Saccharomyces cerevisiae S288C: one gene and its partners. The protein of the gene in region 4 binds, or shares a complex with, the protein of the main gene of each other region. Each region holds a gene or a part of one and is shown on either strand. Other genes may lie near its edges. A codon is read from its position in the direction of its gene.

What was found.
Region 1: MRP10 (region 4) and VAR1 share a complex: the UniProt entries of both Saccharomyces cerevisiae proteins name them as parts of the mitochondrial small ribosomal subunit.
Region 2: the proteins of MRP10 (region 4) and SEC27 are in contact, whole or in part, in a crystal structure (PDB 8R8B), measured with the Saccharomyces cerevisiae proteins. Residues at the interface, in NP_010238.1 of Saccharomyces cerevisiae: Lys17 (codon at 1,622), Lys19 (codon at 1,628), Lys20 (codon at 1,631), Pro21 (codon at 1,634); in NP_011378.1 of Saccharomyces cerevisiae: Arg15 (codon at 3,810), Lys17 (codon at 3,804), Tyr33 (codon at 3,756), Arg59 (codon at 3,678), Asp98 (codon at 3,561), Tyr99 (codon at 3,558), Arg101 (codon at 3,552), Asp117 (codon at 3,504), Phe142 (codon at 3,429), Met144 (codon at 3,423), Leu161 (codon at 3,372), Asn188 (codon at 3,291), Asp206 (codon at 3,237), Arg272 (codon at 3,039), Trp274 (codon at 3,033).
Region 3: MRP10 (region 4) and MRP17 share a complex: the UniProt entries of both Saccharomyces cerevisiae proteins name them as parts of the mitochondrial small ribosomal subunit.

Annotation. Positions count from the first base shown.
Region 1 is NC_001224.1:47,202-51,620, reverse strand, and holds VAR1 (mitochondrial 37S ribosomal protein VAR1), read right to left. Parts: upstream 2,721-4,419; coding exon 1,524-2,720; downstream 1-1,523. UniProt on the Saccharomyces cerevisiae protein: Component of the mitochondrial ribosome (mitoribosome), a dedicated translation machinery responsible for the synthesis of mitochondrial genome-encoded proteins, including at least some of the essential transmembrane subunits of the mitochondrial respiratory chain.
Region 2 is NC_001139.9:247,773-253,920, reverse strand, and holds SEC27 (coatomer subunit beta'), read right to left. Parts: upstream 4,053-6,148; coding exon 4,035-4,052; intron 3,835-4,034; coding exon 1,183-3,834; downstream 1-1,182. Other genes in the region: MRM2 (21S rRNA (uridine2791-2'-O) methyltransferase), read left to right, coding at 62-1,024; YGL138C (uncharacterized protein), read left to right, coding at 4,390-5,427; FLC3 (putative flavin adenine dinucleotide transporter), read right to left, coding at 5,797-6,148. UniProt on the Saccharomyces cerevisiae protein: The coatomer is a cytosolic protein complex that binds to dilysine motifs and reversibly associates with Golgi non-clathrin-coated vesicles, which further mediate biosynthetic protein transport from the ER, via the Golgi up to the trans Golgi network.
Region 3 is NC_001143.9:436,597-439,181, forward strand, and holds MRP17 (mitochondrial 37S ribosomal protein bS6m MRP17), read right to left. Parts: upstream 897-2,585; coding exon 501-896; downstream 1-500. Other genes in the region: AUR1 (inositol phosphorylceramide synthase), read left to right, coding at 1-189; ESCRT-III subunit protein DID4, read left to right, coding at 1,182-1,241, 1,310-1,948; MET14 (adenylyl-sulfate kinase), read right to left, coding at 2,181-2,585. UniProt on the Saccharomyces cerevisiae protein: Component of the mitochondrial ribosome (mitoribosome), a dedicated translation machinery responsible for the synthesis of mitochondrial genome-encoded proteins, including at least some of the essential transmembrane subunits of the mitochondrial respiratory chain.
Region 4 is NC_001136.10:370,675-374,246, forward strand, and holds MRP10 (mitochondrial 37S ribosomal protein mS37 MRP10), read left to right. Parts: upstream 1-1,573; coding exon 1,574-1,861; downstream 1,862-3,572. Other genes in the region: type 2A-related serine/threonine-protein phosphatase SIT4, read left to right, coding at 1-32; NPC2 (sterol transporter), read left to right, coding at 566-1,087; FAD1 (FMN adenylyltransferase), read right to left, coding at 2,014-2,934; MTF2 (Mtf2p), read right to left, coding at 3,293-3,572. UniProt on the Saccharomyces cerevisiae protein: Component of the mitochondrial ribosome (mitoribosome), a dedicated translation machinery responsible for the synthesis of mitochondrial genome-encoded proteins, including at least some of the essential transmembrane subunits of the mitochondrial respiratory chain.

The DNA of each region.
Region 1 (4,419 bases), on a different chromosome or scaffold from region 4:
ATTATATATATTTTAATAAATATTAATTATTTATAATTATATACAATTAATAATATTTACTTTTTATATATATATTAATTAATATATATTTAATAAAGGATATATATTATTATAATTACTTTATTTGAAATAATTAAATTATAATAAAAAAATATAAAATTATAGTATAAATTGAGTAAATTATATACTTTTTAGTGAATATATATTTTATCAATATTAATATTAATATTAAAATAGGTATGAACCTCGAGTAAATTATTATTATTAATTAATAATAATTTATGATTTATGATTAATAAATAGAGGTAGGAGGGAGGAGTTCCGAACGAAATCCATAACCCCATATGAAGTAATAATTTAATTCCAAATTCAAATTAATTGAAACTTTTTATTTATATTAAAATAAATAAATATATTCTTCGACTATTTATATTAATATTATTATTATTATTATTATTAAAATGAATATTTATAGTTATAGTTATAATTATAATTATAGTTATAGTTATAGTTATAGTTATATAATAGGTGTTAACCTCGCGAGAAGGAGGAGTTCCGGAACCCAGCATGGGGGCCAATTAATTATATAATAAATAATTAATATTATTTATTATAATTATTATTTATAAAAAAAAAAAAATAAGTTTTAAATATATAACTATAGAGAAAAATTATATAATAAATTTTCCTTTATTTAATAAAAAGATTATAATCTTTATATATATTAACCATATATATATTTTTTATATATTATTATTAAATTTATAATTAAATATTATATTTATAAAATTTAAATTAAAATTTAAAATAGTCCGGCCCGCCCCCGCGGGGGGGGGCGGACCCCGAAGGAGTGAGGGACCCCCTCCCTAACCTAATGGGAGGGGGACCGAACCCCGAAGGAGTTTGGTTAAAGAAGATAAAGAATAAAAATTAAGAATATTATTTTATTTATTTTTTTTAATATTATATATTAAAATATAATAGAAAAAAGAGTATTATATATTAATATAAAATATATTAATATAAATAACTAACCGCCCCCGCGGGGGCGGTTTATATAATTTAATAATTAATATATTAATAATAATTATAATAGTCCGGCCCGCCCCCTGCGGGGCGGACCCCGAAGGAGTAATATATATATATATTTTTATTTAATTAACTATCAATAATAATTATTTATAATAATAAAATATAAATAGGATCCAAAAGTAGGATTAATTTATAATTTTATTTGATATTTATTTTTAATTAAATTATTATTATAATAATTATATAAAAAAATTAATTAATTAATATTTTTAATATAAATAAATTATAATTTTATTTTTATATAATTATATGATATTATATTATATTTTATTTATATATAATTATATATATATAAAAAGTAAATATTATTTTATATATTTATATATATATATATATTATTTATTTATTTATTTTATTTATTATATTTATTTTATTTCTCCTTTCGGGGTTCCGGCTCCCGTGGCCGGGCCCCGGAACTATTAATATATATATTAAATAAAGTTTAATTTAACTTTAATATTATATTTACCATTTTTATTAATATTAGAATTATTATATAAATTATGATTAGAAGGGATATAATTTAATTTATAATTATTATTAATATTACTTCATAAATATTTTTTATTATTAAAAGTACCATTTAATAAATTAAGTGTACTAGTTCTACCATTATTATTACTTAATCTACCTTTAAATTTAATAGATCAACCAACTAAATATTTATATATTAAAATATCTATAGGAATATTATCAATAGTTATATTATTATAAATATTATTAATATTACCAATATAATTATTATTATTATTATTATAATTATTATTATTATTAATATTATTATTATTATTTAATAAATTAATTATATTATTATATTTATTATTATTAATATTATTAATATTATTAATATAATTTATAGAAATATTATGATCATTTAATTTAGGCATAATATTATTTAATATACGTTGATAATTAGTTAAGATACCATTATTATATTTATCTATATCATTTAAACTAATATATTTACTAAAAATATCACTATTTAAATAAATATATGATAATTTAATAGGTTCAATAGTTACTTTTTTTTTATAATAATAACTTAAAATATTACATAAATTATTATTTATATTATTATTTATAATATTTATTAATTTATTTATTATATTTATATAATAATTATTATTATTATTATTATTATTATTATTAATATCATTATTATAATAATAAAATTTAATATTTAATTTATTTAAACTATGTTGATTAATAAGTTTACTTATAATAATTTTATTAATATTTATATTATTTAATTTTAAAGTTATTATTTTATATAATAATTTATTAATTAATTTATCATTTATAGTATTTATAATTTCTATATTTTTATTATAATTATAAATTTGTAGATTTCAATTATTTATATTATTTAAATGTTGTAATTTATTATTAATATTCCCCGCGGGACCAATCCGGTGAACAACCGGATTGGCGCCCGCGGGGTTTATATTATTATTATTTAATATTCTTTTTATATTATTTATTTTTTTATTATTTATATCTAATAATATATTCTTTAATAATAATTTCTTATTTATTAATGAATCTAATAGATTATTAATAATAATATTATTATTATTATTAAGTTTATTTATTATTGATAAAATTATATTTAATAATTTTAATTTCATTATTTTTTATTTTTACTTTTTATCTATTATATATACATATTAATATTAATATTAATATAAATAGAAATATATATATATATATAATATGCATCCTTATTATAATATTATTTATTATTATAAATAATAATATATTAGATATTTTTTGCAGTTATTAATAACATTATATTCTTTATAATAATAATATAAATCCCAAATAAAAAAAAATAATTATTATTAATAATTTATATATAAATAATTTATAAAATAAAATATTATAATTTTATATATAAAAATAAAAATATTATTAAAATAAAATATATCATAATATTATTAAAATATATATATAAATATATAAATATATATATATATATATAAATATAAAGAATTATTAATTATTTATAATTTTTAATATATTATTATTAATTAATAAAATAAAATCCCTTCTTAAGAATAAAAAGGGTCGGACCGGACTATTATATAAATAATATTATTAAAATAATAATTATTATTATTATTATTTTTATATATTTTATATTTATTAAAATTAATTAATTAATTAATTATTATTATTTATTTATTTATTTTATTTTTATAGGAATAATATTAAAATTATTATTATATATATGTATTATTACGGATGATGTAGGATTTGAACCTACGTAGCCAATAAAGACTAATGATAGCTCAAATATCACACTTTAAACCACTCAGTCAACCATCCTTAAGAGGAATATAAATATAAATATAAATATTAATATAAATATAAATATTAAATAAACTCCTTTCGGGGTTCCGGCTCCCGTGGCCGGGCCCCGGAACTATAAATATATTATATATATATATTATAAAAATCTTTAATATAATATTATATAATTATTAATATAAGAACTTTTAAACTTTTATTAATTTATTTTCTCCTTCGGGGTTCGGTCCCCCTCCCTAACGGGAGGGGGTCCCTCACTCCTTTCTTAAAATAAATTATTATTAATAATTATTATATAATAAGAATTAATATAATTAATATAATTAATTTTATAAATTATAATATTAAAATAATTATTATTATTATTATATAATTAATCATATATTTTTAATTTATTATATTTATTAATATAATATAAATTATTATTTAATATTTAATATTTAAATAATATAAACCCCGCGGGACCAATCCGGTGAACAACCGGATTGGCGCCCGCGGGGAATATTAATAAATTAAATATTTAAATAATTATAATTAAATATTATTAATGTATATATAAATTTATATATTATATAGATAGATAGATAGATTTATAATATATTTTATTATATTGTTATAATATATTATAATTTATTTATAAACCTAATTATTATATTAATTATATGAAAATTATAAATTATATATATTTTATTAAATATTAATAGTTCCGGGGCCCGGCCACGGGAGCCGGAACCCCGAAAGGAGATGTTCACTAATATTATATTAATATTAATATTAATATTATTAAATGAATAATACAATAAAAATTATATTGTGTTCAATTAAATATATTTAATATATTTATATATAAAGAATTTATTATTTATTAATAAATATTATCATAATATATATATTTCTTATTTATTAATAAATATTTTTATTATTAATAAATAATATATCTTATTATGGTAATTTATATTTATTTATATAAATGTTTATTATAACAATATTTATAAATTATTATTATTAATAATATAA
Region 2 (6,148 bases), on a different chromosome or scaffold from region 4:
CAAGATGGGCTTATCCGAGGTTTGAAGTAATGACTACACATACTGACGGGAAAATTACAGCATGATTTTAGTGTACAATCGTATCAGGAGTATAATATCGTCTTCTTTAGGTCGAATACATGTACGGTATAATTCTAACTCACAAAACAGATGGCTGAATAGACAACTGAAGGATCCCTACACAAAAGAGGCCAAGGTCCAAAATCTGAGGTCTAGAGCCGCATTCAAGCTTATGCAGATTGATGATAAATATCGGCTTTTTAGCAAAAACAGGACCGATCAGAGAATTCTAGATCTTGGGTATGCCCCTGGGGCTTGGTCCCAAGTAGCACGGCAAAGAAGTTCACCTAATTCAATGATACTGGGCGTTGACATTCTCCCTTGTGAACCTCCGCATGGTGTGAACTCTATTCAAGCTAATATATTGGCCAAAAGAACTCATGATCTTATACGGCTCTTTTTTTCTAAGCATTTCCAATTGAACAGACACGATGATTTGCATAAGGACCATGGCTATTTCCAGAACATGCTCGAGGAGGAGCTAACCCATGTGAAAGATACTGAATTGTACCGTGAAATTTTCACCTCTGATGACATTTATGAAACTCCGAATACGAATAGTACCCTAATAGAACGAGAAAAATTCCCAGTTGATGTGATTATAAGTGATATGTATGAACCCTGGCCCCAAACAACCGGTTTTTGGAACAACATTACTAATCAAGCTTATTTTAGGATGGCTAATACATCTGGTGTCAGTATAAGAGACCATTACCAATCTATTGATTTATGTGACGCAGCCTTAGTTACGGCTATAGATTTATTACGGCCATTAGGTTCGTTTGTTTGTAAACTATACACCGGCGAAGAAGAAAACCTATTTAAAAAAAGAATGCAGGCAGTTTTCACTAACGTTCATAAGTTCAAGCCTGACGCTTCTAGAGACGAATCAAAGGAGACCTATTATATCGGATTAAAGAAGAAAAGAAATGTAGATAAACTGGACGTGTTTAGTAATTCATAATATGATTTGTTTGCGCGCAAAGTTTCAAGTCACGTTCATTTTCACACCTATCGCAATAAAAATAAAAAGTGTACATCTGTATATATATATGTTTACCATCCATTAAAGATGTTTTCTCATTCGTTGATTAGTTCTTTATTTGTCTTTCTATGAGGTGGTTAACTCTCTTCTTCCACAGGCTCCGGCACTGCCTCTCCTTGCTCCGGCTGTTGTTCTGATTGTTGTTGCTGGGGAGCTTCCTCTTCTTTTTTTTCGGCTTCAACTGCCTCTGAGTTGGATTCTTTAAACTCGCTGTCCTCAACTTCAGCTTCTTTGTTTTCGTCAGCTTGTTCTGGGGCTGGAGTGGAATCTAAGTCAATGAGTGGTTGGGCATCTCCTGAACTCGAAGAGCCTGGTAAACCTTCGGCCCCACAAACTCTTTCTGATACAGTATTCTTACCGTTGAGTATCAAATTTTCCTTCCATTTTGTAACAATATCGTTGACTGCATCATCTCCTAAACCGTATGTTGATCCAAGGAAAGCGGCTTCGGAAAACCTTTGAGACTTGATTAAAAGATCTTTAGCGCCTTGTATATCGCCAGCGATCCAATATGCATTAAAAGCCAAATTGAATTTACCGGCCCTTTCAGCATCTTTAGCTAAAGTGACCAACCCCTCCTTGTTATTAAAAGATGAGTGCAATAGAAATAAAGATTCTAGATCATGTGCATTTGTGAAAGCTTCAACAGCAAGTTTAAAATTGAACCTTTGTAAGGAAGCATCACCCAAGGCTCTCCATTTCATTTCGGCGCTTTCATCTGTCAACAAATCGCGAGCAAGCGTAAGTTGGCCGACTTTTAAGGCTAGCTCAAATTTTTGATCTTGATCAGGGGAAATATTCAGTGCTTCTTCATAATACTCTTGACCTTCCAGAAATCTAGCAATTTTTGTTAAAGAGTCCTTACCCTCAACATTTGGGAGTACATTTTCAATGGCTTCTTCAATTTCCCCTCTTAAAGTCAATGTTTGGAACTCCAGCACCTCTAGAGATATTTCGTAACCATAAACATGGACCTCTCTGTCAGCTAAATATACTTTATTATCACGTGCTAGATAGCCCAATAGATACATTTCCTTTGTGTAATGGGCTAAATTATAAGTCTTTCCACCTACGAAGTAGTTCAGCCTGTTAGTTGCTGTGGTAAAGATAAAGACATCACCAACCCATTTGCCTGATGTAATGGATTCACTTAGTTCATACAATACGTCAAAAGCCTCATCAACACCTTCTGAATCGTCGATATTGCCATTATTTGCTGCTTCAAGGTAAGCATCCTTGTTGAATAATAATGTGTAACCACTTGCTTCATCACCATTACTATTGGTGTTGACAATCATCACCAGCTCACCGTTATCGGACCAAATGACATCCTTAGCATTAACATCAATTCTTCTAACTAGCGTACCGTTGTCCCAATCGAAGAAATAGACGAAGCCATCAGACTTCACACCCAACAAGGCACCTGAAAATAATCTATCAATAGCAGAATGCATTGGGACAGACCATGATGTGACTTCTTTAAAGTTTTTGTAGTATTTAATTTGCCCAGTTTCATCAATTAAAGCATAACTATTGGAGTCGGGGCCCCAAACAAAGTCTTGACATTTACCGAAGGCTTTGTTTCTCCAAGCCAACGCCGTATAAATAACGTATTCACCATCCCCAACAACTGTAACAAACCTACCATTTGGAGAATGGGCTAAAGATTGAGGGAAAACATCAACGGAACCCAGCTCCTTAGTTTGTAAAGATAATGGTTCATCTTGTTCAACTTCTTCGTTACCTCTTATGACGGCAGTGAAAATGTCTGAAGCTGCGGCATTTTTGCCACCTGACCATACTAGCTTACCGACAGGGTCAAGTGATAAAGTTGGTTCATCATTTCCCAAGGAAAGTACGGTAAACCCATTATCAAACCCGGATGCAATGTAGTTTTTACGTCCTGTTGGATGGGTAGCGATACACCAACTTCTTTCTAAACCAACGTTTAAAGTCTTTTCTACCTTGTAAGTGGAAGAATTCCATATCTTTAAAGTGCCATCTTCGGAACCAGAAATTATAATGGGTAAAGTTGGATGGAAAACAGCAAAAGAAACATTGGACATGTGACCTTCTAGAGTGGCTACACATGACTTCGTTTGGTAATCCCAAATTTTGATGGTTAAGTCGTCCGACGCAGTAATCATATAAGGCTTGTCAGGTAGCGGGTAATAATCAACATAATTCACACCTCTTTCTTGTCCTGTGGTTAACGTGAAATTTGGTGTCGATTGTCCCAATGACCAAACTTTAACGGTTCGGTCCAAACACCCAGATGCAAACGTACTAGGATCCTTTGGATTGAATGCGACGCACATGACAAAGTGTTCGTGACCTTCAAAAGTTTGTTCTAAGGCCCAGTTATTTTCCCAATTCCATAGTTTGACTGTCAAATCATCACTGCCGGATAAAACATAAGGCTTTGTTGGATGTACAGCAATGGAACGGATATAGTCTGGATGAGCTTCGAAATCAACAACTTTTTCACCTGTATTGTAGTTGAAGACTCTGATCCTGAAATCATCACTCCCAACAATTATCCAATTCTTTCTTGCAATGAATTTACCTGCTCTAACAGGAGTTTCCGTAACTTGGATGGATCTAACTTCAACTTGTGTTTCGTAATTCCAAAGCTCAACACGACCAGAGTACAAGGTAGTCAAAACCCATGGCTCAGTAGGATGGAAATCGATACCTTTAACTCGATCGGATCTATTACTAAAAGTTTTCTATCATAAATGTACAGTGTCAAATAAAGGAAATGCCAAGAGCAAATGCATTTATTTCAAAAATCTTCCTGTTAGTAACTAATCTTAATGTTTGCTTTTTGCAGGCTTTGTATTCTTCGCGAACGAGATCATTTCCTAATCATAGGAGTTGTCGGAGCTTGTTCGCAATTGCATTGGCAAAACGCGCTCTGGTAACATACCTTTATATCCAACTTCATCGTGTCCGTATAATTGTTTCGATTGGGTGTCTTAATTCACCATTACAAGCTACCATTTATTGCAGCTTTCTGTTATTTACTCCCAAATCTTACACGACATGTTCCTAATGCCAGCTCGATTCATTCATGAAAAAAAGACAGTTTATTACCCGCTCATTCGTCAGACGCGATTAAAATTTGACGCCGCGTCACAAAATAATCAATTTGATAATAATATATTTGATATTATTGTCCATATTCAATAATTAGTAATGTGGATCTAATGATTTTTATACAGCTCAATACAAAGCAACAAAACTAAAAATAGATTATAATATCCAAAGTGCTCCTCGGATGAATGTACAACTTTTTAGAATTTTTCTTCTTTTTTATAACGTACACCTTATTTAAGAGCACTTTCGTTCAAGGAAAAAGTTCATTTCCTGGACATGATGTGTGTAAGTTCGAAGACCAAAATTTCCAGACAGAGTTCTTCTTAAATGTTCTTAAAGGTGACAAGTTACAGAACTTGAAGCAGGAGTACGAACAATACAAAAAACAAAGTACTTTGTACACAGGCTTTGTAATTGAAAAACAATATGAATACCAGGTAGCGCCCTTGCAAATCAATAATTTTCTTCAAGTGACCTTTTGTAAAGGAGGAAAGCCAATTTGGAATCATATTCTACCCTTTCAAAAGGATTTAGATTGGGCAGAACCACTATGCATTCCAGCCCAGGAGGATGATACTATCTCCCAAAACAGCTCAGTATGTTTCAAGTTTGCAAGGGTGCAGAAATATACACAGCGTAATGTAACCCTTTACTTTCCTAATAAATTTGTTGGATTCGTATTTGTTTGCAATTCTTCAAAGACGCATCCCCCCACTCAGAACAATTTTGAAACTATTCCATTAACGCCTATTATTTCTGATGATATTAGAGATTACAAAATATCTTGGTCAATTAAAGGAAGAATCACCAAGGTGGTACCTTATCTACATTCGTTAAGTATTCCTATGTCCAAATATGAGATGCTCATCCATTCAGATAAGAACATATCAAACGAATTGGAATATAAATCCTTAACTTCGGAGTTTTGGAAGAGCTATAAAAACTTAAGAAAGTTTAAAAACAAAGAAATGTCTTGGATAAACGAAATAAATCCTATGGAGCAATATGATAGCTCTGGGAATGAAAATGTCCCGAATTTTCATGAAAAACTAGACCGTACAATAAATCGGATTGCGCAAAACATAGAAAGGCCTCATGATGCACTAATAAGAGCGATAGCCGCACATAATAGAAACTCTAATAGTGGAAATATTACAAGAAGGAAATATTTGAGGAGGAAGATCTCAAAGATGTTAAAAAATAAGATACCTCTTAAGAACTGAACAACTTACACATTCCTATTCATGAAAAAACATAATTTTATAATAAATTGTTTGTTTGATTCGATTAGTTTATTTAACTTGATTAATTTAAGTATTTATTTTTTTTTAATTTGTTGTTACACGAGGAGTATTAAAAATATGACAAACTGGGATATTACAACATAGAAACAAAGATAACAAAAGCTATCTATTTTAAAAAAATTCATATTAAGCAAACTGGTACAAAGTGTTTTAACGTTATTAATGAAAAAGAAAACTTGGGAAACTTCTGACAAAAACAGAATTTAGAAGGTTAGAAGGAGAATGAGAAAAACCTGTAAAATTAAAAATTTTTATGATAGGAGCAGAACTTTTGTATATCGTAAAGACTCACATAAATCCTTCATCGAAGAATCCAGGGGGTTTCCTCAGTGGTTGTTTATTGTTTCCCAAACTATTTATGCTGTCATCTCGAACATAGTTTTGCGACCTAAATCCTCCGTCCGAACTTGAGGTATCTAAAAGGTCTCCTTCAGTGGAGTCGTGAAATGGATCGGTATTTGAACTTGTATCTTCCTCTTCAAAGGAATTGATCAGTCCATTATGCGCATCAGACTGTGATCTTGTGTGTCCTGGATAAGGTTTAGAGCCTAATGTTGATAGGTTTTCTCGTGAAAGATTCGTTAAGTTGTGAGGAAACGTTTGTTGTTTTGGAGCTTCAACTCTCAGAGCATCTGTGCTT
Region 3 (2,585 bases), on a different chromosome or scaffold from region 4:
TCAAAGAGTGATCCATTGGCTGCAGATTCAAACGATATCGAAAGTGTCCCTTTGTCCAACTTGGAACTTGACTTTGATCTTAATATGACTGATGAACCCAGTGTAAGCCCTTCGTTATTTGATGGATCTACTTCTGTTTCTCGTTCGTCCGCCACGTCTATAACGTCACTAGGTGTAAAGAGGGCTTAATGAGTATTTTATCTGCAATTACGGATACGGTTGGTCTTATGTAGATACATATAAATATATATCTTTTTCTTTCTTTTTCTTAGTCAGGATTGTCGTTTAGCATAATATACATGTAGTTTATTTAATCACATACCACTGATTATCTTTAGAATTTTATAAATTTTTGAAATAAATGGGTGGCTTTTAATGGTGTCTATGTTAAGTGAGGCTTTTAGAATGCTCTTCCTGCTTTGTTTATTATATGTGTATGAAAGATATGTATGTATTTACATGTGTTTGTAGCGTCCCCAGTCAAAACCTGTGCGCTATACCTAAATGGATTGATAATCTTCATTCACTAATTCTAAAATAGACTTCTTCCCCAAAGAACGGTGTAACGATGAGGCTCTATCCAGCTGCTTATCTAAATCAACTTTAACGATGGATGATCTTATGACACGGGGATCTTTCTTTAAAGTTCTTAGAATTTCAGACTGTACCGCAGCTGATGAATCAAACAGCATTAAAAAGTGATATGCTCGAAAATGTTTTTCCTGGTCTTTCTTCATTATTTTAGGAAGATACCTTATGCCCATGGGTACAATGTCCCTCACCACACCTCTGTTTTGAATAATCAGTTTCCCGATTGTGGAAGACAATTCTTTTGCTTCCAACTTTGGCGCATTGGAGTTGGTTATGCGAACAAGTCCGATCAGCTCATAAAGCATCTTAGTGAAAAGGGTGGTTTTGCGTTATTCTTTCCTCTGTTGAAGCTTTTCTATTTTGTTTAAGCTGAACTAGTGGGAGTTTCCATTAAAAGGCTAAAGTCTTGTTGAAACTTTTCCGGGTTAGATGATAACTGCGAAAAGATAGATAAAATCAGCATTAAAGGGACTTCGTCTCCTCCTAATCAGAAATCATCCTTTCGAATTATGCGTATTCAGTTGAAGCGTATTTGTGACCAGTGTACTTCAAGGCTGATTGTTTCACCCTTGGACACAGAACGTTAAACAATGAGTTTGTTTGAGTGGGTATTTGGAAAGAATGTCACTCCGCAAGAGAGGTTAAAAAAAGTATGTTGTTCTGTATTTGGATCAGTTATTTTAGTGAACATACTAACGTTAATTATTTGAGTTTTTAGAATCAAAGGGCTTTAGAAAGGACTCAGAGGGAGCTTGAAAGAGAAAAGAGAAAATTGGAACTACAAGATAAAAAACTTGTATCAGAAATTAAAAAATCGGCAAAGAATGGGCAAGTTGCAGCTGCGAAAGTTCAAGCAAAAGATTTAGTAAGAACCCGGAATTACATCCAAAAATTTGACAACATGAAAGCTCAACTTCAGGCGATATCATTGAGAATACAGGCCGTTCGAAGTAGTGACCAAATGACACGTTCTATGAGCGAGGCCACTGGTCTTTTGGCTGGAATGAACAGAACAATGAATCTACCTCAGTTGCAAAGGATATCGATGGAGTTTGAAAAGCAGAGTGATTTGATGGGTCAACGACAGGAATTCATGGACGAAGCTATTGATAACGTCATGGGTGATGAGGTGGATGAAGACGAAGAAGCTGACGAAATTGTAAATAAAGTTCTTGATGAGATTGGAGTGGATTTGAATTCACAGTTGCAAAGCACGCCTCAAAATCTGGTTTCTAATGCGCCGATCGCAGAAACAGCGATGGGGATTCCTGAACCTATTGGCGCCGGATCAGAATTTCACGGTAATCCTGACGATGACTTGCAAGCTCGGTTGAACACTTTGAAGAAGCAGACTTGAGCGCTCTGAGTATATTTAATGAATAATAGGTCTATACTATAATACATCAACTACTGATATCAAAGTAGGCACTTAGAATCAAAAGGCTTCCGAAAATTTGTTCAGTTTTTCACTTTACTCAATCTCGTCACTAAAGTTTTCTTTTTTTTTCGAATGAATCCTCGAATAAATATGTTCTATATTATATATATACATCTTTTATATATCATTAAATGTACAGTAATCGGTCAAATTACAAATGCTTACGGATGATTTTTTCACTGATTAAGTACTCATAAATAATGGTAGCACATTCTTCAACCGTCTTCTGGTCGGTTCTCAAATGTAGCTCTGGAGCTTTTGGCGCTTCATATGGGGCAGAAATACCTGTAAACTCCTTGATTACACCCTCCCTAGCTTTCTTGTATAAACCCTTAGGGTCCCTTTGCTCAGCGACTTCTAATGGAACATCAACAAATATTTCAATGAACTTCAAACCAGCCTCCTTATGTAGTTCACGAGCTCTATCTCTGTCAACTCTGTATGGAGAGATAAATGAGGTGATTGAAATAGCACATGAATCAGCAAATAGCTTAGAAACTTCGCTAATTCTACGAATGTTTTCATTTCTGTCCTTTTCTGAGAAACCCAAATCCTT
Region 4 (3,572 bases):
ATAATAATCAAAGAGCCGGCTATTTCTTATAACACGACGGCATGCCCTCCCTAACTCGACGAATAAAAATAATTTTCACAATAAAAAAAAGACTACAAAAATCAGAAACTTTTTCATTACGCCATTTGCTACGATACGATACACAACAAGCACATTCTAAGAGCATTCCATTTACTATGGTCAAAATGACCAAATAAAAAATTAAAAAAAAAAAGAAGGAATGAGAACTAGTAACTACATATTCAACAATTGCAGTTTTCTTTTCCTTTTTGTCCTTGTCCTTTCTTTCCTATTTATATATATATATATATATATATATAATACTACTATGTTATATTACATTATATTATTATCACAATAATTATTACGTTCATCGTGCCGAAACGTCACCTCCCACGGTTTGGATCTATTGAAAGAGGGTGGAATCCCTGATAATAAAAAAACTTTAATCAACACTCGGGAGGGGAAATATAAAAGACTGGCGCTACTTAAAGAGCTGATTCGCCAAGGCAGAAAAGCATAACCATATTAAATCTTCTCCTTCAAAGCTAGCACGCCTTCCAAAATGACCCACAGCTTGAAAGCTCTATTCGCCTTGCTATTTCTTTACACAGCTGCTGTCAATGCGGGTGTGATTGGCATATTCAACGCCCTTCCCCCACCAAACACCAAACCAATTAACGGCGAATCTCCACTTTACCAATGTGACATTCTAGACAAGCAACTTGTGGAAATCAAAGAGGTCAATTTGGACCCTAACCCTCCTGTTCGTGGCGAAAATTTGACTATTTCTGCTAACGGTGAGGTCTTTGAAACTATAGAAGAGGGGGCATATATCGACGTTGAAGTCCGTCTAGGATACATCAGACTGTTATCCCAGACTTTTGATTTGTGTGAAACATTAGAAGATAACGATATCGAAGGCTTATCCTGTCCAATTGAACCGGGTGAATACAACATTAAGAAAATAGTTGAGATCCCAGGCGAGGTTCCACCTGGCAAATATGTTGTTGTAGCAAGAGCTTACACTGAAAAGGATGATCTGATCACTTGCTTAACCGGAGAAGTCATCTTCCCACCAAGGTGATCTGATTCATACAACTCATTGATCCGTGTTTATTTCCCTTCTCGTTCCATGTATTCTTTTCTTTTACCCCATGTTCTCTTCACCCGTTCGAGGCAGGGTTTTTCCTCTTTTTGTTATAACCACCATCTAGTCGAATGTGGTTACTCTTAATATTTTTTTGTCGGCCAATGCTTCAGCGCCTTTGTCAACACCTACTTCTTTTCCATTCCTTTCCTCTAATTAAAAATCATCTATTTAGTGTGTACGTATTAAAAACATGTCATTACATTGATATCTCATTGCAAAATTTCTCCCTTACGCACATCTTTGGTTATTATATATGATGACAGGTTCGTTCTCCGGGTAATGCGGACTTTACATATTAATTCTTTTCCCAGTATTTTAGGCAGAATATAAAAGCTTTGAGGCTTTAAGTGAGACAAAAGTCTTACCATAGCAACACGAGGGCTCGCCGAAACTTCCATCTAAAATAAAGAGTGCCCATTAATGTCCGGAAAACCACCAGTTTATAGATTACCCCCTCTTCCCAGACTAAAAGTGAAGAAACCTATCATTAGGCAAGAAGCGAACAAATGTCTTGTTTTAATGTCAAACTTATTACAATGCTGGTCTTCATATGGTCATATGAGCCCTAAATGTGCTGGCTTAGTAACGGAATTGAAAAGTTGCACTAGTGAAAGTGCCCTCGGCAAAAGAAACAACGTTCAAAAGAGCAATATTAACTATCACGCCGCTAGGCTGTATGATAGGATCAACGGTAAACCCCATGATTAATTTTATATCCAAAAGCAGCAAGAATGAAAACTTGATAATATTAAAGTCATGGCCTTGTATATACAAATTAAATAGTCTCAACGGAAAATATATAAACTTTTAATCTAATAGTAACATCAGCATTTTATTTTCTTTCCTCCGTTAAACCGTACTTAATTCTTGATCCTGCCTGCTCTCTCTAAAGTGTCATCAACCAAATACCAGCCAGGATAGTAATTGTCATGGTATTTGCTGAATCTTTCCTTATCCACCACGGAAATAGGTGACGTGTTTATAGCGGAACTACGTTCGCCTTCTGCGTCCTTGCCAAATGCATGAATGATTTCCCATTCAAAATGCAAGGCTGGATTATTGGAGTCCTTTCTCAAGTGTGGGTTAGGCAATGAGTTGTTAATTCCGCCGATTGATGTGAAACCTTTACCATATAGTCCACAAATTGGCTCATTAGAATACAGTAAGAAACTCCATATATTGGTTAAGTCCCAGTGTAAGAGAGGTTGCAACCTCATAAAATCAGGCCAGTTAGAATCTGTTCTTTGAATAGGCTTTAATGCTTCACCAAATGGGTCTGTGTGTCTAATACCTATCACTATAGCTTCGGTCTCAGGGTATATCTTTATAAAATCTCTAAATGCGTCTGCCATATTGACCGATGCACCAGATTGCCTTTGTGATTCGTATAAGGAAAGGCAATATCGCTCTGAGGTTTCCAGTACAAAATTCTCTAATGTAGGGAAAGTTTCTTCTTGATCAATGAAAACAGTTGGAAGTCTTTGCATGGGGAAGCTTTGAAACTCGAAATCGAATTGGGAATTTTGAGCCTTAATGAAGAAATATTCCCATAAGCAACTCAGATATAACAGTAGTAATACCTGGCAATCTTTTCCTCCGTTGTACGAGAATGATATTTCCCCATTCAGTGGACTCCAACGTACAAAAATTTCACTTAGTAAGTATTTTCTTGTCAACCGTATCGCTTCTTGTGTACTTGCTATTATCTGAGATTTCTGGTCTATGTGTAAGTAAGAGTTTGTTATCTCATAACACATCTCAGCAGCCTTGCTCAACTGCATATTGTGCTCCCCTATTTGTTTATTACTTTTTGCAAATGTTGCCCTCTATACCGAGAAAGTAATATCAGTTTTTTCCACTCTCAGTCAACAAAATCTTTCGAAGATTTTTCGAGGTTCTTTCTATAGACGGATCCTTAGGTTCTTGCTAACCAACGTGTTGTATATGAAACCCATCTCCAAATTTTGAGCTCTTCCCATCCTTTTGTTTCCTCGGACTCAATGAATTTGAAATCTGCCGAACAAGCTAACTAAAAAATAGGAAAATTGGAACAGAAGTTAAATGCGAGCAGGAACGTTTATTAGCGCTTTTAAGTCTAACACATATATATAACACTATTTACAAGGTTTGAATAATTTTCTACCTGTCTCTAGTTAAATTTTTTTTGAGGCTTTTGAGATAATTTTCAACAATTAGTAAGTCATTATTCGTGTCTTTATTCCATAAAACACCTACATTCACTATTTTATTTGCGCTGGACGAAACTTCCTCATCTGCACTGAGCTGTTCTCCTGCTTCAAGAAAGACATCCTCATTTAAACTTCTCATTTCTTTGACAATCTTATCCAATATATCCACGGTTTCAATATTTCCGATGACACCATTAACGCTCATCTCGGTAACCACACGTCTCAAGTAG